Caenorhabditis elegans: one gene and its partners. The protein of the gene in region 1 interacts with the protein of each later gene in a pairwise test. Each region holds a gene or a part of one and is shown on either strand. Other genes may lie near its edges. The genes, in order: dhs-14, ech-8 and C05G5.5.

Region 1 (6,565 bases):
CAAGAATATAAAATGACAAGTTACGATCCGCCAGGAATAGGATAATATTCGCAATGTGCTCAGGCTTTCCAGCGGCTCCAATTGGGATGCATTCCTTGTGAGATGCCATGAAATTGTAGAACTGAACAACAAATTACAATTTGAGAAATTTGAAAATTTTCAGAAAACCTTTTGAGAAGCTTGATCAGGCATTCCCATAGCATTGGTAAATCCGGTTTCTACCATTCCAGGGCTAACTGAGTTCACACGAATCCCAAATTTAGCGAGGTCGATCGCAGTACTTCTGGTATACTGGTCAAGGGCTGCCTTCGCAATTGCGTAATACAAGAAGTCGGGCTGCTGGAAATAATTTTTTAATTGAATTGGAGGCTTGTTGAAATTTGAAACTCCTGGTAACAAAATTAAAAAAAAACGAACCGCTTGTGGGCCTGCAACAATACTTGAAACATTAACGATTTCTCCTTTTGAGGCTACCAAATGTGGCTTCACTTTCTTAGTCATTTCGATGACGGCTTGAAGGTTTAATTTTAGTGTTTTGTGGTAGATATCAATGCCCTGATCTGTGCCAGTTGTTCCGAATGCGTCGGGAATTGCAGCACCAGCATTGTTCACCTGAAATTATAGATCTAAATCCGAGACTCTTTGGACACCGGCACAGATGAAAAACCTAGTTTTGATAGTTCGTTCACTACATTTTTTTGTTTAATTTCCATATATTTTCCCTCAAAAAAATTATCAATACATGTTAAATCGTCGATATAAAAAAATTTTTCAGCAGATTTCTTCAGGGTTATCAAGCGCTCTGTACATAAAGCGCGCGTGCGACCGCCTTACGGCAAATTGTTCAAACGTAAATTTCCAATTTTCAGAAAATCTACCGGGCCGTCAAATTTTCATTAACTGTTAAAAACAAATTCAACTCAAAAATTACTCACCAAAACATCAATTTTCCCAAACTGTTTCAGAGTCGAGTTGATGATCTGATCTTGCCCATCTTCCGTAGTAACATCGGCAACAACCGAGTTAACTTGCTTCTCGGAAACTCCGGACTTCAGAATAATCTGCCTAGTTTCTTCAAGACGCTCTGAACTTCTTCCGGTGATCGTTACGTTTGCACCTTCCTGAGCGAAGAGAATAGCAGTGGTACGTCCGATTCCGTTGGAAGATCCGGTGATAATAACAGTCTTGTTGGAAAAACGTGGCATTTTTTGGAAATTGTACCCATCCGATTAAATGCTGACTATTTATACTCTCTGGTTTTGTGATGACATTGTTTTCGTAGTTGCCGTAGTGTCAAACAAAACAGAGAGACGCAGGGTTTTGATGAGACGCAGATTTTGTGTCCGAGAGATCGAAAATTGCGAATGACACAAATAATTGTTCCAGCACAGTGAAAAAGAGTGTATTTTCCATTGGAAATTGTGAAGTTGTTCAATGAGAATAGATATGTTTTTTTTTGAAAAATTGTTTTTCATTCTACAGGAAAACTGAAGAAAAATAGATAAGAATTTCAAAAACAGAGTGAAATATTTCGAGCTAGATTTTTGTCTAACCGAAAAGTTCTCATATTTCAAGATTTTTTTCAGGTTCAAAACTCCAATTTCTCGCTGGAGAGTCTCAATTTTTATCCACCCCCAGCCCCGCCTAAGCCTAAGGATAAGCCTATAATATATATACCGCCTAAGCGTAATAATTAAAATTTATATATTTTTTTCAGATTCAGTGGCATCCAATAAAGCATGTTTTTAAAAATGGATCTGTCAATAGTAATTTATACCAGAAAATGTTAAACAAAGTAGGCTACCTTGTACGGAAGGTTGTTAGAGAAAATTGCAGTATTTGACCAAAAGCTATTTTTTCCAAAACTGAAAAAATACGGGAAAATCATAGGAATTATTTTTATTTTTTAATTTCACTTCAGGTTTTACTCTAGGCTCATGTTTGTGGATTATATCCGTCAAAGTTAACTCAAACGGAAATTTTTTTAGTTGCCTGTTAAAAACTTTAATAAAACAATTTACTTTTAAAAAAATGTATACAAAAATTATTGTTTCAAAAGATCCATAAAATTGTGTGCCTGCATTCCCATTACCAAAGTCGAACCTCCATCTGCCACAATCGACTGTCCAATAATGTATGAAGAGAGTTTTCGATCAGCCAAGAACGCAATTATATTGGCAATGTCGATGGGTTGCCCCATTTTTCCGCAAGGAATACATTCTTTGCGAGATTCCATGAAATGTCCATACTGAAAAATGGAAAATTGAATAATTTTAAGAGCTTGTAAAACCTACCCTGGGCTTCACCTACCTACCTTCCTGCTTAAAAAGATTTAAAAAGATTTAAAAAGATTGTTCAAAATATTTTTGAACAAGTGGTAAAAAATCAGATTTTCCTACAACTAAATTTTGGTAAAATGACGTGTCAAGGATTTGTATTTTAAGTAGGCAGATCTGCAAAAGTGCCTGCCTACTATGAGGCTTCTCACCTTCTCATGCATATCAGCAGGCATTCCCATTGCTTCTCCGAAACCTGTCACTACAGCTCCAGGGCTCACCGAGTTGACTCTAACCCCGTACTGAATAAGATCGATGGCAGCACTTCTGGTATATTGATCCAATGCGGCTTTTGACATTGCATAATACATGAAAGTTGGTTGCTAAAATACAGAAGTGGGTAAAAAAGTGAAGAGAAAAGGAACTAACAGCCTGTGGTCCTGCTCCGATGCTCGAAACATTTACAACTTCTCCCTTAGCCTTAACCAAATGCTCCTTGGCTTTTTGAGTCAAAGTAACCACACTTCTCATGTTAATTTGCATAATTCTATCGTAAACTGAGACATCTTGATCAACTCCAACACGTCCTTGATCGTCATTAAAAGCCGCTCCGGCATTGTTGACTAGAATATCAAGGCGCCCGAATTTTTGAATTGTAGAGTTAACTAGTTCATCTTGACCTTTTTCAGTCGCCAAATCAGTTGCAATCGACAAAACATGATCTTCCGGAACTCCTGACTTCAAAATTTCCTGTCTAGTTTCTTCAAGCCTATCAGCATTTCTTCCAGTAATCGTAACTTTTGCTCCTTCCTGAGCCAGAAGTACAGCAGTGGCTCTACCTATTCCGTTTGAGGAGCCTTCAATGATTCATTATAAAAATGAAGAAAAATAAATTTGAAAAAAATACCTGTCACAAGAGCAACTTTGCCAGAGAATCGAGTCATAGCAGTAGTGTAGAAATTAAATATTGATACTGATAATCAATGCTTTTATTGCGTGATTTTTTTGTTGAAATGTGGTCTGTGATGTGCTTTAAGCAAACTGTGGCAGCTTATATTGATAAGAAAATAAAAATATTATGTCAATAAATAATGACTAGACTTTTGATACCACAAAAATGGAAATTCCTTTTTTGGTGGTTCGAACCAATTTTTTGACCGATGTTATTCTGCACGATTACATTACATGCCCGATGTAGCCCTCTACCGCTCGGCTTACCGATTTTAAAGAAATTTAAATTTCCGGCAATTTTCCGATTCGCCGATTTGCCAGAAATTTTAATTTCCGGCAATTTTTCGATTTGCCGGTTTGCCGGAAATTTTGACTATTGGTAAAATGCCGATTTACCGTTTTTAGAGGGATTTTTTATAAGACGGAAACACTTAAAACTGTGCCTTTTTAAATTTTTTTCCCCGTTTTCTTTAGAAATTTTCATAGAATTTGCTTAATTTTTAAATTGTATGTAGGAACATTCACAGGATATTGCCGATTGAAATTGAAATTCTAAAATTTCAAAAAAAAATTTGCAAAACCACAATTTGCCGACAATTTTTAGCAATTGCCGTTTCCCGGCGAATTCAGCAAATCGAATATTTTCCGGTTTGCCGATTTTCCGAATATTTTAAATTCCGGCAATTTATCGATTTGCTGATTTGTCAGAAATTTAAATTCCGGCAGTTTGACGATTTGCCTGATTGCCGGAAGTTTATATTCCGGCAATTTGCCGGTTTGCCATTTTTCCGGATATTTTCAATTCCGGCAATTTGAATATTTGCCGGAAATTTCAATTCCGGCAGCTTGACGACTTGCCTGATTGCCGGAAGTTTTAATTCCCGCAGTGTGCCGTTTCACCGAAAATTTCAATTCTGACAATTTGAATTTTTGCCGGAATATCAATTCTCCCAATTTACCAATTTACCGATTTGCCAATTTGCCGGAAAACATAGCTTGCCGTCCATCCCTGTTTTGTACAACAAAATCACTAGTTCCAATATTTATTCACCACTAAATCCAACAAAATTTAAGATTGCTTCATAAGATCCGCCCAGTTGTGAGCATTCATTCCCAAGACCAGTGTAGATCCTCCATCAGCTACTATCGACTGCCCAATAATATAGGAAGAAAGCTTACGATCAGCCAAGAACGCAATAATATTGGCAATATCGATTGGTTTAGCTACAGCTCCAGAAGGGATGCACTCCTTGCGGGACTCCATAAACTTCATCATCTGAAAACTCGAAAAATTCTAGGAATTTGTGTCTTATGTTCACCTCCTCAAACGCCCCACTCGGCATACCCATAGCTTCTCCAAACCCGGTAGTGACACCTCCCGGGCTCACCGAGTTCACGCGTACCCCGTACTGAATAAGATCGATGGCTGCACACCTGGTGAATTGATCGAGAGCCGACTTTGACATTGCGTAGTACATAACTCCGGGTTGCTGGAAACATGCAAATTTTAATACTCATATTTGGGGACGGGAATCCAGGCTACCAGCAGGGCTGAGCAACAGGCCGAAAAATTACAGAAATCGCCGATCGCCGATCGCCGATTGCCGCTCACTCCTACTAGGCTACCAGGCAATAATTCGATTTGCAAAACTGATTTTCGATTGATCAAACTACTCTAAAATTAAGTCAGCGGCGAGTAATAAAATTCCCCGAAATCTAATTTTTCCTAGATCATTAAGTCTTACCAGAGCAAAAACTACCGGAGGTCATAATATGCTTTAACCTAGCTTACCGCATGAGCTGTTCCAGCTATACTCGAGACATTGACAATTTCTCCCTTAGCCTTAACCAAATGCTCCTTGGCTTTTTGAGTCAAAGTAACCACACTTCTCATGTTAATCTGCATAATTTTATCGTAAACTGAGACATCTTGATCAACTCCAACACGTCCTTGATCGTCGTTGAAAGCTGCTCCGGCATTGTTGACCAGAATATCAAGGCGCCCGAATTTTTGAATTGTAGAATTAACTAGTTCATCTTGACCTTTTTCAGCTGCCAAATCAGTTGCAACCGACAAAACATGACTTTCCGGAACTCCTGACTTCAAAATTTCCTGTCTAGTTTCTTCAAGCCTTTCAGCATTTCTTCCAGTAACTGTAACTTTTGCTCCGTCTTTTGCGAACAGAACAGCTGCAGCACGCCCAATTCCGTTTGACGAGCCTAAACCTCTATTTTCGAAACATAAAACAGAACAATTCTTACCGGTGACAAGTGCAACTTTGCCAGAAAATCGAGAAAGCATGGCCAGCAGAAAACACACGAATAAATGATAGTTTCTCTCAATTTCTTTTAAGTAATCTTACAAAGTGTGCTTTGTGTCCTAACGTATCAGTTGCAATAGATAAAACTAGATAAAAGTCGTAGTTTATGTGATCTTTTTATCAAAAGAAAAACGTTTGGCAAGAAGCGTGGTGAGTGTTATTTTTTACACAATTCTATAATTTTGTCGTCTGTACCTGTGGGCGGCAAATCATTTTTTCCGGCAAATCGGAAAATTGCCGGAATTGAAAATTTTGCCGCAAATCGGCAAATTGTGGTTTTGCACATTTTTTTTTGGAAATTTCAGAATTTTAATTTCAATCGGAAAAATTGCGTGCATCCTGTTCGTACATCTTTTGAAAAGTAAGAAAATTCGATGAAAATATCGAAAGGAAACGGAAAAAAATTTCAAAAAGGCCAAGTGTTTCCGTCTTAAAAAATCCCTCTGAACATTTCCGGCAAATCTGACAAATCAGCAAATCGGCAAACCAGTAATTTGCCGGAATTAAAAATTTCTAGCAAATCGGCAAACCGGCACTTTGTCAATTTGCCGAATTCGCCGAACGACATTAGGCGCTCAGCCCCCCCCCCCCCCCTCAGAGGAATATTAATATTTTCCAGAAAAAAAATGTGTTGGCGCGAAATTCAAATTTTAACAGAATACAGTTTGGTAGAAAATTCAAATTGTCCGAAAACAATTTTGCAAGAAAAACATTAAATATTTAAAAAAAGAACTAGAACTTTCTATACGATTTCGGACACATCCATATTTTAAATTTTCTGCCAAAATACTTTTCTCTGAAAAAAAGCGCCTTTCCTTATGCGACGCACCATTCTGAATTAAGGTAGTCTGTATTTATTCCCAAATCAAAAAAAAAAGGAAAATATGAACAAAAATTTAAGCCAAAGCTTTCGACAAATCATGACTTGGCATTCCCAAAACCAAAGTGGTCCCTCCATCAATCACAATGGATTGTCCAATGATATAAGCACTCGATTTCCGATCAGCCAAAAACGCG
Region 2 (7,705 bases), on another chromosome or scaffold:
ACTCGACGAATAATCTGTTCCATTTCAGTGTCATTTTCTTTCCGTTGGGTTTTATCGTCATATTTGTAAAATCCTTTGTCTAAAAGTAAAAATTGTACGGATTCCAAAGATTCCCATAAAAAACAGAATGTTCCAAAACTTGATAAATTTATCATTTAAAAATACACTCACTAGTTTTCCGTCCGTATCTTTTCAGTCTCCACATTTCCTTTTCAATCGGATTCGGCTCAAGTCCATTTTCCTTTTTCAACTTTTCCATTACATCAAATCCATTCATATCGGCAACAGTCATTGGTCCCATCAAAAATCCAAAATTCGTGATAATTTTATCAATTTGATGTGGAAGGTATCCATATTCATACATTAACTTCTGACTTTGATCAAAATAAACATGAAGAAGCCTGTTGAATACAAATGATTTACAATTTCCAACAAGAACCGGAAGCTTTTTTATTGATTCACATGCTTGAAAAGCAGTTGCAATTGCCTGTGATGAAGTATGAGATCCGTATATTATTTCAACCAATCGAATCACATTGGCAGGATTGAAGAAATGAATTCCAACAAGATTGCTTGGGTCGCGGAGAACTGATGAAATCTATAGATTTTAAAGTTAGCAATTTCTCGCAAAATTAAGGCTCTACCTCATTCAAATCCAAGCTTGAAGTATTTGTTCCAAAAATGCAAGTTGATTTGCAGATGTTCTCGAGGTTGGCGAATAGTTCCTTTTTCAATTTCATATCTTCAATTACTGATTCAACAATCTACAATTTTACATTTAAAAAATGTCGTTAAAGTATTTAACAAACAAGATCGCAATTTGAAAGCTTATGGAAATCTGATGTTATTTTCAGATTTGCATTGATTTTTTCGATTCTTTTGTCGTTTAATCTCTTGAATGATTTTTCCCGAGCATACATAACTTCCAACTCTTGCTTGCATCTCTGAAAATAAAAATACAAATTATGTTTTTTTTTAAAGATCTATATCACCTGCTCATTTCGTACTACCAAAAAAGTTTCAATTCCAGCTAAACCAAAGCAGATTGCCATTGCCTTTCCCATAGTTCCACCGCCAATAATTGCTACGGAATTTACATCATAAGCTTCAGAATTCGTGTGATCACCTCGATCATTTGGCAGAGACCACTGGAAGTATACAATTCAAATAATTTAATTGGAAATGAAATCACCTGTCCCGCCAAGGAATGAGCTTCCATCAAATAGCTTCTGACTTCTTCTGGAACTTTGCCCATTTTTTGATTGTTTTCAATTCTGGAGTATAAAAATTTAATCGGCTGAACAACATTGTTTATACAAGTTTAAAAAATGTTTGAAAAATTTAAACACGATACAGTTAATATTTTTTCAGAGTTTTCAGACCACCCTTTTATAGGTACTTTTCATTTGTAATATATCACGTTTTTACTGCCCACTTTTCCAAATATTTCGTTAGTGATAACAAAGAGGATTTTGTCCCGACATTTCGTCCGTGAAGTTCCCGGACAGAAAATGATCTAGTCGATGTTGTCACTGTCTGTTTGTTGATTCATTGATGATAAGAGCTGATGAGACTTTGGTGCTTTCAGTACACTGTCGTCTTTGTTTAAGAGTAAAACACGAAATTCCGTCTAGATCTAGATAATTCAAAAATCAAGTGCAAACATGTGCCTTGTGAATATTTCTGTGTATAGTTTATTGTTTCTTATCTGTATATGTACATACATATGTGATTTATTTGGAGTTGTTTACTAAATTAAGATGTTAGGCTATAACTTGTTTTGATACTTTGAAAAACATCCAATTTTCATAGCGCAGCATATCGTGAGATTATTACGATATCCGAACAAAAAACTATCGCCAACTTTTTTGAAAAATAATGCAGATGGACGCGTATCTCTGGTAGGGCTCAACAAAGTGTTGTCTGAAATTTTTTAAAGGTGGATTTTGTACAGAAGTTGGCTTGAACTGAAATTTTTAAATATAATTATTGTGCCCTACAGAGTACAGCTAAAAATTTGAAGTTTATTGTCGGTCATATCGAGCACCAGAGGAAACACTTTTTTCTTGAAAAAATGTGTGTTCTACCTATTTACCAAGTATTTTTCGTTTTGATATCAAATTTTTAATCCCAACACAATCAGTAATATTTTTTAATACAAAACGTCATTTCAGCAAGGCAGTCTTTATGTTGATTTTTGTGATTCTGTAAGGCAACATTTACTTCCACTTTCTTATCAATTTTCAAGCTCAAATGTCTAAGAGTAAGGGTTGATTTCATATGACAGTGCTTGTCCGGTTGAAATACGAAAAACGCCCACAAAATCCATGTTACTGATAATAATGATAAGTGTACAATTGAATGTCTCAAGATCCGTTTTTCGCTAAATGTACCGTACTTTTATTTTTATAATTATTATTTGTGCACCTCACGGGGTTTATCCAAAAAAATACAGAAGACATTTTAATTTTCAGAATTAGAGATGGGCAATTGGTCTTGCAGATTGATTTGCATCAAACTTTCGACAAAATTTATAATCCCCAGCATGTCATTTCTTGTACATAGTAGATCAATTGTATACAGGGTATTTATTTATGTTTTTACAATAATCATCTCTTTGAACATGGTAACGAACTACAAAATTTATAATTTCGCTGCAAAATTCTTCCTGTCCACATTTTGCAACGTGGCCGCAACTTTGTATGTTCTATCATTTGGTTCTAAAGAATTCCAGAGAATAATTGTGCTCGCAACTTTTTCAATTCCTTGAAGCCATCCAAATCTCATCGGACCACCAGTAGCAACAGGCCATCCAAACCCGAGAATGCTGAAACAATTGTGCTCATAATTTTAATTTTTTTTTGAAATTAAGTTTTACTTACAACATGATATCGATCAAACTTTCATGATGGATGATTCCTTCCTCAATGCACAAAAGACCTTCGTTGACCATGGGATACAAGAGGAAATTGACGGCATCCTGGTAAGTTTTCGGTTGAATTTGAATGAAATTAGAAAGTGAGTACCTGATCGTTCAAAATTTGTATATTTGGACTTGCAGCTGAAGAAAATTTTCGAATGAGCTGCTCCATTTCTATATCATTCTCCTTTTTGTGAGTATTTGGATCATATTTGTAGTATCCCTTATCTGAAAATTACACCTAAATTGGTAAAAAATATTGGGCTTTTCGTGACAGTTTTGAAAATCTTCATTTTGAAAAAATAAATTGAAAACAATAATTTCCGGTTTTCCTTCTGGAACGTTCAAAATTTTGATTGGCACTTATCATTACCACTGAAAAAATATTTTAAAAATTTCAGACTTCAGCTTGTCAAATATTTCAAACTTTTCTTATAGCCGGAGCGAAGGTATTTGTTTTTTAACCTATGTATAACTATTTGCCGCTGGTGATACTCCAAAGAAATTGAAATTATCCGTTTCTCAGTTCATTTCACAATTTATTTAAAGACGTACTTGTTTTTCTACCGTATCTCTTTTGTCTCCAAACTTCCTTTTCAAAATCACTTGCTGGCCATCCATTCTCCTTTTTCAACTTTTCCATTACATCTAATCCATTCATATCAGCTACTGTTAAAGGACCCATTAGGAATCCAAAGTTTGTAATGATTTTATCAATTTGATGAGGAAGATATCCGTATTCATACATCAACTTTTGACTCTGATTCAGATAAACTCCAAGTAGCCGGTTAAATACAAATGCTGGACAGTTTCCCACAAGAACTGGTAGCTTTTTGATAGATCTACATGCTTCAAAAGCTGTAGCAACTGCTTTGGAGGAAGTTTTCGATCCGTAGATCACTTCAACCATTCGAATCAAATTTGCCGGATTGAAAAAATGAATTCCAACTACTTTTGTTGGATCTCTAAGTACTGATGACATCTGAAAGTGAACATGTTCTTTTGGAATAGTTAACTTAAAGCGTACCTCATTCAAATCTAAACTTGATGTGTTGGTTCCAAAAATACATGATGGTTTGCAAATTTTATCAAGTTTAGTGAAAAGTTCCTTTTTCAGTTTCATATCTTCAAAAACGGCTTCTACAATCTGAAATTTTTCTTTTTTTTTCTTTTGAAAATAAAAACAAAAACTCACCAAATCACAATTATTTAGCTTTTGAAAATCTGTAGTTATCTGTAGATTTTTTCTCAATTTTTCAACTTTTGAATCGTTCAGTCTTCGAAATGCTTTTTCCCTTTTGTAAGTGATTTCCAATTCATTTTTACAGAATTCGGCAGCCTGCAAACAAGTTTAACTGAATTGATATTATTTTTAAACTTTATGGCTACCTTATTGTTAACTTCGACAAGATACGTCTCAAATCCTGATAAACAAAATGCGATTGCAATTCCTCTTCCCATGGTTCCACCTCCAATTACAGCCACTGATTTGATTGGAATTGATTTCGAATTTATGTAGTCACCGCGATCATTTGGAAGAGACCACTGAAATGATCAATTTTCATATTCTGATGTAAAAAAATTGTGATTTTCAGATATTGTTAAAGCTGAATGCTGAAAAACTTTGCAAAGTGTAAAAATGCGCGTTTTTCTCGAGCAAGTTCTTCAAAAATTTTGGCAACTGACTAATCAAGGGATTTTCTTGTTTATTATTATTTTTCACCACAACTTAGAATTTTGCCATTGAATCATATAGTCGTGCTCTTCGATATTTGAAAAATACTTTAAAAAAATATTATTCCGATGTTTGCCGGATGAACTAATATTTTATATTATCAATGAAATCGAAATCTGTAACTTCAGCTATTTTCTGTTCTCTATATACTATAAACGATATCGTTTTAGTGATTTCTACCATTGCTCAATTCAAAATTCTGCCGAAAAGTGGTCTTCCCTCACTGAAAAATACCAAAAACAAACAATTCACAAATCTACAGAGTGCCCACGGATACGGAAAAGCGGAAAATAACTAATTTCTCATTCAAAAAACTTTATTATTTTAGTTTTCAAAGTTACCTGAGCCGCCAATTGATGAGCCTCCATCAAATAGTCCCTCACTGCTTGTGGCACTTTATCCATTTTTCTGAATTTCAAAAATCTAAATTTCAAAATAAAACCAATTGTAACGAATTAAAAGATCTAAAGAAATTGCATTGATATATGCCAGATGTGTCCCACGTTAGCGATCAATTGATAAGAAGAACATTGTAGCCTATAGGTACATTTTGGCCATTAAAACAACAATAAAACACGGTTTTATTTATTTTTGAAAAAAAATCGATGAAAAATCATAAATGTTTCTTCAATTTGTGCATCCGAGTGATTCGATATTTGTTGTAGTCATCTTGGATAGTTTCGATGATTTTCTGGAATAAATTTGTTTTTAAATAACTCCTTATTATGTAATTTCAAAAATAAGAATATAACATTAAGAACAACCAAACCCGGCATTTTGGAAAATTTGGACCATTGCTCAAAAACGAAAAAGTGGGAAAATAAGGAATTGAAATATTTTGGAACTCTATTAATTTATGTTAGAGAGAATTTCTGCAGAAGCCGTTCCTTTTCAAATGTTTTCTGTTCAATGTCTAGAAAGAGTGACCACATTTTGAATACACCTTGGCCAGAAATTGGTCAAACTTTGCTCGGAACGTGTTACAGATTTCAAATATGAGGTGACCTAAGTCTGACCCACCAACTTTCATTTTTTTTAACCTTCCAGAACGCACACATGAAGTCTTTACCAAGGCCTGATCAAAACCAAATCAAAAGGTTTTACCAAAATTTGACAAAGTGTAAATATTACAGATGCGCGGTCTAACGTTAATGAAAAGATATTATTCAGTAGGAAATTTGATTTCAGACTTACCGGATATAAATCAAATGCAGCATGCGTACCGAATACAAAATCCATATGACTGTAGTGTGGAAGTTCCAGTGATCCAGCGATTGTTTTATTCATTTTTGACAGAATCGAGTCTCTACAAATCATTCATTTAGTTACATCAAAACTAATATAATTGATTAACCGAATATCTTGAGTATCAGCCAAAATGTCGTCACGACTCCAATAGAGATAAGTTGGTGTGTTGATCTGTGTCAAATCATATTCCGGAGGAGTAGGTTGCCCGTATTCAATGATATTTCCATCAGTTCCATAATCAAACTTAGAAACAGTCTGTGATTTGACAAGTTGAATCCAGTGTTGCAAATCTTTTACAGAAGTGGCTGCAGGTGTATGACAAAGATATACACCAACTCTTGATTGATTGAACATTTTCTCATTTCCATCAATGAAACCGATGTCCAATGTACAAATATTTTGCATAAAGAATCTGCTGCACATGTAACTTATCATTTTTTGAACAGTTCGCGGAATTGACAGTGGAGAGTATGGAAGTCGACCGAGCAAGATTTCTGCATAAGTTAGAAACTTTGTCCCAAACAATCCAAATAGACCACCGATATGGGATACTGTTGCAACTGGAGCCAATGCATGGAAATGACGAATCTTAAATTATTGTTGCTTTTGAGGAGGTAAAGAAAGACTAAAAGCATATTAACTGATCGTATGTAACTTTCTACAAAGAAAATGTTTGTTAGCATACAGAAACTATAAATATATACTGATCGTGATTTTCAATTTTGTGCAAAGCATGAGCTTGAGAAACAAATGTTGGATTACGGCAACTACATAAGTAGTCACAACAAAATGTACTGTTTGTAACTACAATACCCCATAATACGAGTAGTCATACAAAAACATGTCAAATACATCCTTCATCGCACGGGTGCCGAAAAACTGTCTGACTAATTATAATTAGAAACGAATTAGATTTGTTTTAAAATTCTCTGTGTCTAGCAATAAATTGAAATACCTTCTTTGCAAATTCTGGATTTTCTGCAAGTCTTGAGAACATAATCATAGTTCCTTGTGAGTGTCCCAAATAATATAAAAACTCTTGTTTTGTCTCCTTCAATACCAAATCCACACTCGCTGTCAAATCAAATTCCGACATTTGTTGCCACGTGAAATTCCAAAATTTCTGATTTTCCGGTCCATAGCCAATATGTTTTTGTGATGCAGGAGTTCCACGGCTATTTGCAATCCAAATATCAAAACCTGCATCGGCGAAAACAAAACCAGCCGATTGATTTGCTAGATTCGGAATCCAAGAGAATCCGTCCGCAAGGAGGCCGTGTTGCATGAATACTATTGGACGTTTTGAGCTTCTGTCACATTTTTCTGAAAAATATTAGAGATGATATCAAAGGTAATTCACAGCAAAATTCAATGTATATTAAATTATTCAAAAACTTCTTTTTTTTGTTGACAGTTTGGAAATTTACCAATACTGGAACAAAGAGAAATCTGAAATTATTCATTTTGTTTAATCGGCCATGTTAAAAATCAATGAGAAAACTTGTACAAAATCTCTACTGCCGATACTTCATTTTGAAGTTTCCGTTTACGAAATAAATTTAATTTTCAAATGTCACATTTTTAACTAAAATGACAGACTTACCATTTTGTTTACATGGGATTCTGTGAAGTTCCAGAATATACTCATCCGTTGTTCTCACTAAATGTACTTCTGATTCATACCCAAAGTGTTTTCCTATTTCTGGCTACAAAAAAATTTGTTCTGAGATTAATAAAATAATTTTTCTCAAAATCTTACCACAGTCATGTAACATTCATCGTCAATAGCTAGACTTAAATTT
Region 3 (10,406 bases), on another chromosome or scaffold:
AAGCCAATACGTTACAACCATTGCTGGATATGCCAAGTCTTGGACTCAAAACTTGGTTCAACTCACTGTCAAGGGATCAGGTCATTTCGTTCCTTCTGATCGTCCAGCTCAAGCTCTTCAAATGCTCACCAATTTCTTGAGCAATCAGGCTAATTACAGCACTCCGGCTGGAGTGAGTTTATTGATATAATATTTTTAAGTCAACCCGTCGTTACAGATTGATGTGACCCCTCAGCCTCTGACCAATGTGATTTCTCAAACTAACTGCACAACTGGACAAACTGATCGTATCATTAATCTGCCTGGTCTTCCAGCTGATATGTTGTTTAAGCAATATTCCGGATTTTTGGATGGACTTTCAGGACACAAGGTTCATTATTGGTAAGACAGTTTACTGGGCTGTATTGAATCATATTAATAATTGAATAGGCTTGTTGAATCTGAAAACAACCCATCAACCGATCCTCTTTTGCTCTGGCTCAATGGTGGACCTGGATCCAGTTCTTTGATGGGATTGTTCGAAGAGAACGGTCCATTCCGTGTTAGCAAGGACTCGCAGACACTTTCTCGTAACCCATATTCATGGAACAAGGTACAAACAGTTTTTATATTTAGCAATATGTACATATCAACTGTAAATTTTCAGTTTGCTAATGTCTTGTACTTGGAAAGTCCAATTGGAGTTGGGTATTCCTATGCCTATAACAACACCAACATTCAGTATGATGATGTTACGGTAAGAACCTTTAAAAATTCAAACTCCAAGTTAAAATTAATTCTTGCAGACCGCTCAAGAAAACTATGCTGCTCTCAAGAGCTTCTTTGCTCAATACCCTCAATACACTACATCTGATTTCTACACCACTGGAGAATCCTATGCTGGAGTTTATCTCCCAGGACTTTCTGCTCTTCTTGTACAAGGAATCAAATCTGGCGATATTAATATTAACTACAAGGGAGTTTCCATTGGAAACGGAGTCATCGACAAGAGAACTGACATGAATTCTCAACTTCATTACCAATATTATCATGGTGGAATTTCTGCAACGTATGTTTCCGGATTATCGTAACTTAGTATATGTTTTTTATTGCAGGACTTACAACACTGCCTTGCAGTTGTGCTGCTCTGGAGATGAGTTCAAGTGCAGGTTCAGCGACCGTATGACAAACTTCAACAACTCGATTCCCTGGGGAGACTTGAGCGATCCATGCTACGACTTTGTAATTCTATTCGAGTTCATGATATGTGAAACAAAATTAAATTTCAGGTCGTCGCTACTGGAGCTCAACTTCTGTTGACCGCTTTTGATCCATATAACATGTACCAACAATGCTGGACTATTCCGTACAATGATACTACTCCACGTACTCCATACGGAGAGACTTGGGTGAGATCATTCGGAAAGTTTGAGAAAAAAATTATTTATTCAAATTTTAAGACCGGAATCAACTATGAATCGTCCGATTTCTTGAATGGTTACCCTTGCTATGATGACAGCGCGATGGAGGGATACTTGAACCGTCCAGTTGTTAGAAAAGCACTCAACATTCCAGATTCCGTTCCATACTGGGCTGCTAACAAGTATGCACCTAATTTAAGATTTTGAAAAAACTATTTGAAATTTCAGCAACATTATTAATGCCTACAATCAGCAAGTGGATAGCATTGTTCCAAATCTTCAAATCATCATGGCAAAGTACACTTAATATTAGTTTTTGGAACCTACTAAAAATAGTTTTCAGCGCTCCTGCAAACTTTAAGATGCTTTTATACAGTGGTGATGCTGACACCATGGTGAACTGGCTTGGTGCAGAAATTTTCACAGCTAACAATTTTGCGGCATTGGGACTTACTGTATTTTTTTTAAATATACTTTTTTTTTAAATACAGTATTCTTTCAGACATCAAGCCCAAGAGCTCAATGGACATTCCAATATAACAGTACCTTCCAACCAACAGTTGCTGGATACCAAACTTCGTACACTTCAAACGCTATTAATATTGATGTGCTCACTGTTAAGGTATGCTTTTTAAGAATTAATATTTACTCATAATTTTGTTCCAGGGCTCCGGTCACTTCGTGCCACTTGATCGTCCACAGCAAGCTCTTCAAATGATCTACAACTTTGTGAAGTCCAGAGGTTACAACACTCCATTCGATCTAAATAGCAATTTTACTACAACAACAACAACATCCACCACCACAACAACACCAGGAACTGGACCTACAGTAACAGCAGCCCAAACCACCACAACAACGCCAAGCACTCCAGGCGCCGGTACTACAGGAACACCAGGAACTGGACCTACAGTAACAGCAGCACCAACAAACGGCATTTCAACTACACAACCAATTATTACAACAACTAAAGGTGCTGAAGGCAGAGGAGTCTTGACAATTATGGCTACAATTCTTTCAGTTTTATTGTTCAATTAAATGGAAAAAACTTGTATCTATTAATTTTGCTTGTCTATGCACATTGTATTCCAAATAAATTATTAAATAGAAATACTTCATTATACTATTATAAATTATTTGAGATATGTAATACATATGCATATGGCTTTATTATGGTCATGCTTTTCAAAGTTATTAAATTTTAGGCAACTTTTAAACCAAAATATACTTGGAAAAATTTTTTATTTAATTTTCGGAGAAGAAGTAGTGTCTGTGGGTTTTTTGCCATCTGAAAGTTTGTAAATGAAAATAAAGTTATAACGTGAGTCTTTAGTCTTTGAATGTGACAAATGATGTTTTATATGATAAAACAACAAAGATAAAGAAAAGAAAAAAACCCGATGAATATAGACCGGAAAAACACACTCATTTCCACTGGAGTTTAAAAATAATTCCGGATTGTGGCCGATAATACGGTCGTAGATTGCTCCACTTCCCAATAGAGGCTGGGTGATCCTGGTGGTGAGGCCGGACTTGAACTCGTGGCCTCCAGATTGCTAGCGGTTACCACTACCGATTGAGCTATCCTGCTCCCTTATTTACACCAAAATTAATAAAATCATTACATTTTTTAAAATAAAGTCTATGAACTGTTGTTTTGTTTTTTGTGCCATTTAAGGCAAAAAGGCCCACAAACATTACTTCATAAGAACTTTTTTTAAAAGTTGGTACATATAATGAATTTCCACCAAGAAAACATATTCCCGTATGTCCAATAGTTTACAATTCCCATCGCTCACCAATACCTACCGGTGTTTATTCAAACAGTGCACATCACAAGACAGATCAATATGGTGGACCACACTCACACCTAACCCCGCCCTCGGATGCGTAAACGCACCCTGCCAGCTCCGTCTCGAGCTGCTACCACCACCACCTTTTCACGCCTCCGAAAACTTTGCTTCCTTTTCTGTCGTGTTCTTTTTTCTTCCGCACCACCAACTGCTGTAGGAGTCCGCTTTTGTGTCTCTTTTGTTTATTTATTTTTGAAAGCTTTTTGAGATACTACTTACTCTTCTGTCTACTCTATTCGCATTTTTGACACGTCGAGATGACCTTTTATATACTAGTTGTATCTTTATATTTATCATTGTTTCTAGTAACTGTTGTACAGTCCGATTGTGATACCGATGTTGAACAGGTGAGGTTTCACTGATTTATTACATTTTTTAGGTTTCAAAAATGCTAGTTTTCCGACAACTCATTCAAAACATCAGAACTGTAAAAATAAATGTACTTACCAGGTTACTGGTATATTTCCTTCAAAATAATCTAGCTCACAATAGTCAGCAAATCAATGTGAAATTTTGTTTAATTCGAAATAGGGTTTTAGGACTAAAACCGTTAATAAGAAGGACAAGCCCAGAGCTAAATACTGCTCGTTTTACATCTTCTGTTTTTTCATTAATCTTAAAATTTAAATATTTTAAAAGTTGAATATTGAGTAAAAATCCTTAATGGATTCCAATTTGTATAAAAATTGTATAAAAAGCTATCAAAATTACAAGAACAAGTCAAATAAAAATCTAATATAATTTTCAATATTTTTGTTTCAGAGGGAAAGAAATATATTCTTGTGGTCAGTAAAACATCCCCAGTTCGCATCATCTCAGGGATATCTTTTTGGTACAATTCATGTGCCATTCACCGAGGTTTGGAAGGAAGGTAGGAAGATCAAAATGAAATAGTCATGACGCCAACTAATAATTCATATTTTCAGTGAGCGACCGAGTGCGTGATGCATTTGCGGTGTCAGACACAGTTCTCTTGGAAATTGATTTACATGATGAAGCAACAATTCATGAGTTGATAGCTTGTAAGAACTTGGCATATGATGAGACTGTGCACTCTTATCTTTCCATTGAATTATTGGAAAGAATAGAGAAAAGTGAGTGAATAATTTATTAAGTTTTCATTTGAAAAATCTCAAAAAAATATTCTAGTTATGGAATATCTTCGCTCAAGTTTCCTTGCCTGGGCCCAGAAACAAAATCCACGGGACACAAAGAAGATAAAGCATGCTGAAGATATCTACAACAATATCATAGGTATTTCCACCTTCTCTCGTCCTTTATATGTATTAGTACGCGGAACACGTGTTTGCTTTCTACTCTCAAAAATATACGTTTGTTCGAGTGGCTTGTTCACGAGAGTCAGCCCAAATAGTAGACCAAATAGCTACCAGATGGTAAATATGAGACCAGATGATTTTAGCACCTCACGGGTGTTTTGAGACAATGAGGTAACATTGTGATGCAATGTTTTTGTGCAGAGATAATAGTGTCGACGGCGCATAATACAATAACCACAGTAATGAAATACTACTAATTTTTGTCGAAAAGAATGATGCTTGTAAAGAAAACAAATGTTCCTTCTTTCTTTTAAATTTCCACATCAATCTTATTCCTGTAAGAAAAAAATATTTCATTTTGCCACACTCATAGTATCTAGTCACAGAGGGACATTTTGAACTTGAACATAGTTGATATGAACTTGTTTTAGGTTATGTTTTAATGAAAATAGAATGTTTGAAACAATTTCCGGAAGAATTTTTTTCATATATAATTCTGCGTCAGGATTATTTGTGAACTTATGAACAACTTGGTATTTTTTAAAGGTGATGTAGTCAAATGTTTTATTGCTTTGTTAGACTCAAAATTGTCTGAAAACACCGCATTTCATAATGAAACTTCTTGAAAACTTCTCAAAAAAAAGTTATGACAGCTCAAATAATGACCTAAAATTTGTTAAAATTTGAAATTTGACCGACTTGTCAATGTCGCAGCGGCTGGAAACTAACTTTTTAGAAATCGCGGTCTAATGTTGGTTATAACAGTTAATTATCGTGCGTTTTCGACTCGATTTCGGTACATTGAAGGTCGATGTACAACCAGAAGTTACCAAATTTTGGTCAAATCTGGTCGTCGATTGACCTTAAATGTATGTTAATAGAGTTGAAAACAAAAATTTTCAGTTTTTCCAACAAAAAAATGTTTTGATCTAGTTGTCTGAAAGACGTTTCAGATTGTAATAAAATCCGACAAACTTCCAAAATGCTCCAAATCATCACACTTTTCAGTCCTCGAAACTATACGAGAAAATGACACACTGAACATTTATCATTTTTTTATATATTTTTTTTTATATATTTATTCCATTCCAGCTAAAAATGTGCCTGCAAGATCAGAAAGACTTTTTCAGAAAGTACTGAAGTTTAATAAAAACCATATCACAATCAGAAATTGAATTGAAAAATATGGAGATTGCTCAAGTGACATTCAAAAAGTTTAATATGTTTGAATAATTCATACAAAAATTGACAACCTCATAAGTTAATATCTCTATTAGTCGTGCACCTTTTTTCATATTTTCTTATGCTTCTGCTGGTTAAATACGGTGTACAAGATAAATAGATTTGTTGTATTTTGTGTTCCTTTCTTCCTTTCCATTGAATGTTTTTCAGGAGATTGGTGGAGAAAACGCCCAATTTGGTTATTATTTCTGCTCTATCAAATGTGCGAAAATGTGTTTGAAAAAAGTTCAAGTCCATTACTAGATTTGTACATTGCACAAAGAGCCACCGACGAGAAGAAGACAATTATCCCGATTGAAACCGCCGAGGAGCAATGCAATCCAGTTGTTTCAGTTTCTACCAATGAAGTTAGTGTTTTTTTTCCTTCTGGACATCGTGAGATTTCCGGAAGCACTTCATAATTCTGAGTGTATTCACACCGATAAAAGACAAATGTGTTAGTGAACGCAAACAATAACGTGTCAAGTACTGGTTCAAAAGTAGGAAGGGTCCATTAGTCGCAGGAATAATAGAATGCGCAATATGGCAGAAAGATAATTGTCGTGTCGTTATGATGAATGTGGAAAAGTGTGAAAGCAAGGGGTTTACCGGGACAAAAGACTATGCTGCTCATTTTAGCTCAACAAGTGCTAAAACGGATGCATGGTTTTTTGTTTGCACCAATTATCAAAAAAAAAGTTCAAAGAAAAGTTTTTTGAACTTTTTAAAAAGAAGTAGCGGATGCCGGGAAATTACTGAAAAGTAGAACTGGCATATTTGGTGTCCGGTCGTCCGGTTTTGACAGACCGGACGCACGGCGTCTGGTTTTTAGAAATTTGAAAATTTTCAAAGGTGTAGGGTTTCACGGCGGCCGACCATTTCTGAGTTTAGCCACTCACTATACTTAATCATAGAATTTTATAATAAGTGGCTAAACTCGGAAATTGTCGGCCGCCGTGAAAGCCTACACCTCGGAACATTTTCAATTTTCCAAAACCGGACGCATGTGCGTCCGGTTCGGGCTCCTGACGTCCCATGTGCCAGCCCTACTGAAAAACACGAATGGTATATTAGAGTCACATTTGTTTTATTACAGATTATCTTTGCAATAGAGCATACTGTGCACTATTTTGAAGATAAAATCTTGGACAATCCATCAAAGGATAATGAGTCTAGAAGCAGTTTGAAAGAGCTCGTCGAACATTATAAGTGTGGGACTCTGAAGGAAGATATGTTTGATAAAGATGGAATGTCTATAATTGACTATGCAACTGGAACAACAGAACGGTTTAAAGCTGACGAGGTGAGTGAGTCAAAATCAAATTAAACACGCTGCAATGTTCACAATTACAGATCAACAAAAAGTTGAAGCAGGATATTTTTGTAAAACGAAATTTGAGAATGGCCAAACGGATAGAGAAGATTTTGAAGGGTCGAAATAGTAACACTGTATTTTCTGCAATAGGCGCTGGACACTTTTTTGGAAGCAGTAGTGTGTTAACATATCTTGAAGAGAGCGGATTTATAGTTCAGAAGTTAAAAAATACAGATGTGATGTGAGTTTTTCTTTTACTTATTCCATTTTGTAATCGAGACTAACATTTGAAATTTTACAATGTGCCAAAACACAGAAAATCCAAATAAATACGTTTTTAAAAATAGACCTGTGGATAAAAATAAAATTAGATCATTCAAAAATATTAATGAGTAAAACAAATGCAATGTGGAGTACTGCTTTGTTTTACGGATGTTTGCTTGTTTTTTTCTTTTTTAATTGAACTAGGGCTCACAGCTGAGTGAGACGCGAAATGCAGGCCTCACGCCGGCCTTACGCCGACGCCGCTGTGAGTGCGCAATGAAATGCTAAAGGTAGTTATTTGGAGCGGCCGACACGCTCGGGTTCCGCAGCTTGGCGTGAAATGAGTAGCTTGGTGTGTGCGAAGAAACAGTTTTTTGGAAGCGGCCGGCGTGTTCGGGGACCGCGCGGTACTATGCATTCGAATACATGCGGCTTGAGTGACGCCGTGAAGCCGGCAGAGGCACCGTTGCGGCGATCTCAAGGGAGACCTACATTGAATAATAACGAAAAAAATTGGTTTAACAGTTTTTCAAAGTTGAAGGAAGAAAGCTCTTAGTAACTCAGTAGGTACCTAGGTAAAGCCTTACATTTTTTCTATAGGAATCAGAATTTAAACAAGGGAAGAAACTATATAAAAGATACATAGGTCCAGTTGCTAAAATTTTTTAATGCAGCAGAAAAAATCGGTTTGATTAAATTTTGATTTTCTAAAATTTGGTAAATTAGTGTTTCAATAATGTTTTGAAAGATGATCGCGGTTTATGGGCATCGTGATCAGACGATTTACCAAACTTGAAAACCGCATGCGAATGAAACTTTACGGCGTTTGGAAATCATATCTAACCCACCGACATTCTTCTTGATTCTTGATCTGCAAATTTTCAGTCAACCCCTACGATCTCCCTACCGTCAAACCGCAAAGTTCAAACGTGTATGGACCAAGGAAACCGCAGTTCGTCGAAAATCAATAATCATCGAAGAAGTAGCACCATCGTCCAGTCGAATTGCTAGATTATGGCTAGTTCCGTGTATTTTTCTTTTACATTCCATCTTTGCCATTTTCCCATGAACAACTTTCAACTTTCAATCAATTGGTTTGCGACAACTGCAATTTTTCCATTTTATCGGAAAAATTCAGCCACACAGTTATCTAGAGGCAAACATATTAAAAAATTAGAGAAAAAGAGACAAGAAAGAGAGAAAAAAGAGAGAAGTCATAGAAATATTGAAATTAAAAACGCAAGATCACTAAAAAGTGTGTAAGCTATTTTCTTACAGAAAAGGGGGAGGGAGACAAGTTGAGTATTAAATCAGCGAGGGTTCCTGTTTAGATCTTTCCCAGGAAAGCGGTGGCCATGGAGGTTCCAAGTTTAGCTGGAGAGTCGGTAACCTGAAACAAATTATGGCATTTTTTTAGCAACCAAGTTTAATTTTTCAAAATATCTTTAAAAACCTGCTGACTTTTCAAGTTAAATTCTAAGGTAAATCGTCATGAACAAGGTGTAACTTCATAAATGTTCTAGATTATTTTGACAACTTTTGCAACAGAACACTGTATATCCCAAGCTTCAAAGTGCAGCTTTAAATTTTATTCTGGAAAAACGTAAAAACTTACTACTACTCCGGCTTCTCTAAGAGCATTGATCTTGTCAGCAGCGGTTCCCTTTCCTCCCGAAATGATGGCTCCGGCGTGTCCCATTCTTCTGCCTGGTGGAGCTGTGACTCCGGCAATGAATGAGACGACTGGCTTCCTGTTGGCTCCCGAGTTGTGCTCCTTAAGGTATGCGGCGGCCTCCTCTTCAGCTGATCCTCCGATTTCTCCGATGAGAATGATTCCTGGAAAATAATTGGTTTCATATTCTTTTTTTTTTTAATTTTTACTGGCTACTCTGGGTACTGATAAATACAAAATCACATTGTTTGAGTTCACATTAGGGTATTATTTTCATGAAACATGAGCTCACCCTTAGTTTCTGGATCCTCAAGGAAGACGTTCAAGCAGTCGATGAAGTTTGTTCCATTGAATGGATCGCCTCCAATTCCGACGCACAAAGTCTGTCCGAATCCGACTTGAGTAGTCTGGTGCACAGCTTCATAGGTGAGAGTTCCTGAGCGGGAGACGATTCCGATGCATCCCTACAAGTTCAGCAAACAGTTTTGATAAAATTTTTAATTGATAATTTCTGAACATGTTTTCGAAGTTCAACTTCACTTGAGAAGGATTTTAAAGGGTTCTACAACAATATTTATAACTTACTCTCTTGTGAATGTGTCCTGGCATGATTCCGATCTTGCACTGATCGGCCGAGATGATTCCTGGACAGTTTGGCCCAACAAGTCTTGTCTTGTTCTGCTTGAGAAGACGCGACTTAACACGGACCATATCGTGTTGTGGGATTCCTTCAGTGATGCACACCACCAATGGAATCTCGGCGTCCATGGCTTCCTCGATGGCGCTACCGGCAGCACTGGCTGGAACGTAGATGACAGAGGCGTCGGCTCCGGTCTTGTTGCGAGCTTCGGAGACGTTCTTGAAGACCGGGAGTCCCAAGTGCTCTGTTCCGGCCTTGTTGGCATTTACTCCACCGACGACTTTAGTGTTGTACTCGAGCATTTGCTTTCCATGGAAGGTACCCTGAAATTTTTGTGAATTTTTTTTTTGAAATACATATTTTCGATATTTTAAGAGTTCGCTATGCGCAAAGTATTGACGTCAAAAGCATATCTGAATACATTAAAATTTTATAGCCGTTGAACTTTGAAAACACTGAATTTAAAGTGAGTTGCGAAGACAGGCGTTTTCATTTTAAGATGTAATTTTTTATGAAGCTGAGTTGTGACCTCTATTTTGCATAAAGCGTATTGTCAGTGTTTGAGTTTATATTATCGCTCCAGAAGCTCCCACGCCATTCATAAATTTATTCGGGTATACCTGCTTTCCTGTGAATCCTTGCACAATAACCTTGGTGTCCTTGTTGATTTTCAGGTTGTTGTAAGTGCTGTTGTAGAAACGAGCAGCTCCTGGAAATACAAATAAGGTGATTTAAATGAAATAGGCAAACATACCCTTCTGCAA

The links.
Region 2: the proteins of dhs-14 (region 1) and ech-8 interact in a two-hybrid assay, tested with the Caenorhabditis elegans proteins (one large-scale study listed by BioGRID).
Region 3: the proteins of dhs-14 (region 1) and C05G5.5 interact in a two-hybrid assay, tested with the Caenorhabditis elegans proteins (one large-scale study listed by BioGRID).

What each region holds. Positions count from the first base shown.
Region 1 is NC_003283.11:2,761,975-2,768,539, forward strand, and holds dhs-14 (DeHydrogenases, Short chain), read right to left. Parts: upstream 3,227-6,565; 5' UTR 3,221-3,226; coding exon 3,184-3,220; intron 3,134-3,183; coding exon 2,706-3,133; intron 2,660-2,705; coding exon 2,489-2,659; intron 2,249-2,488; coding exon 2,045-2,248; 3' UTR 2,007-2,044; downstream 1-2,006. Other genes in the region: dhsl-4 (DeHydrogenases, Short chain), read right to left, coding at 1-121, 169-339, 418-612, 936-1,205; cror-2 (DeHydrogenases, Short chain), read right to left, coding at 4,297-4,503, 4,547-4,717, 5,020-5,447, 5,490-5,529; dhs-15 (DeHydrogenases, Short chain), read right to left, coding at 6,445-6,565.
Region 2 is NC_003282.8:10,234,056-10,241,760, forward strand, and holds ech-8 (Enoyl-CoA Hydratase), read right to left. Parts: upstream 5,122-7,705; 5' UTR 5,060-5,121; coding exon 4,997-5,059; intron 4,466-4,996; coding exon 4,310-4,465; intron 4,260-4,309; coding exon 4,116-4,259; intron 4,068-4,115; coding exon 3,948-4,067; intron 3,903-3,947; coding exon 3,476-3,902; intron 3,149-3,475; coding exon 3,027-3,148; intron 2,981-3,026; coding exon 2,883-2,980; intron 2,828-2,882; coding exon 2,644-2,827; 3' UTR 2,571-2,643; downstream 1-2,570. Other genes in the region: ech-9 (Enoyl-CoA Hydratase), read right to left, coding at 1-79, 172-598, 645-764, 810-944, 993-1,148, 1,193-1,255; lipl-7 (Lipase), read right to left, coding at 5,269-5,346, 5,850-5,961, 6,010-6,491, 6,859-7,226, 7,507-7,609, 7,663-7,705.
Region 3 is NC_003284.9:14,754,068-14,764,473, reverse strand, and holds C05G5.5 (Metalloprotease TIKI homolog), read left to right. Parts: upstream 1-3,352; 5' UTR 3,353-3,510; coding exon 3,511-3,600; intron 3,601-4,015; coding exon 4,016-4,124; intron 4,125-4,179; coding exon 4,180-4,347; intron 4,348-4,402; coding exon 4,403-4,507; intron 4,508-5,922; coding exon 5,923-6,119; intron 6,120-6,847; coding exon 6,848-7,054; intron 7,055-7,104; coding exon 7,105-7,307; intron 7,308-8,215; coding exon 8,216-8,399; 3' UTR 8,400-8,419; downstream 8,420-10,406. Other genes in the region: Y16B4A.2 (Carboxypeptidase), read left to right, coding at 1-172, 218-381, 430-592, 647-736, 786-1,048, 1,095-1,221, 1,269-1,388, 1,440-1,582 and 4 more; sucl-1 (Succinate--CoA ligase [ADP/GDP-forming] subunit alpha, mitochondrial), read right to left, coding at 8,658-8,720, 8,946-9,166, 9,295-9,466, 9,588-9,965, 10,263-10,351, 10,397-10,406.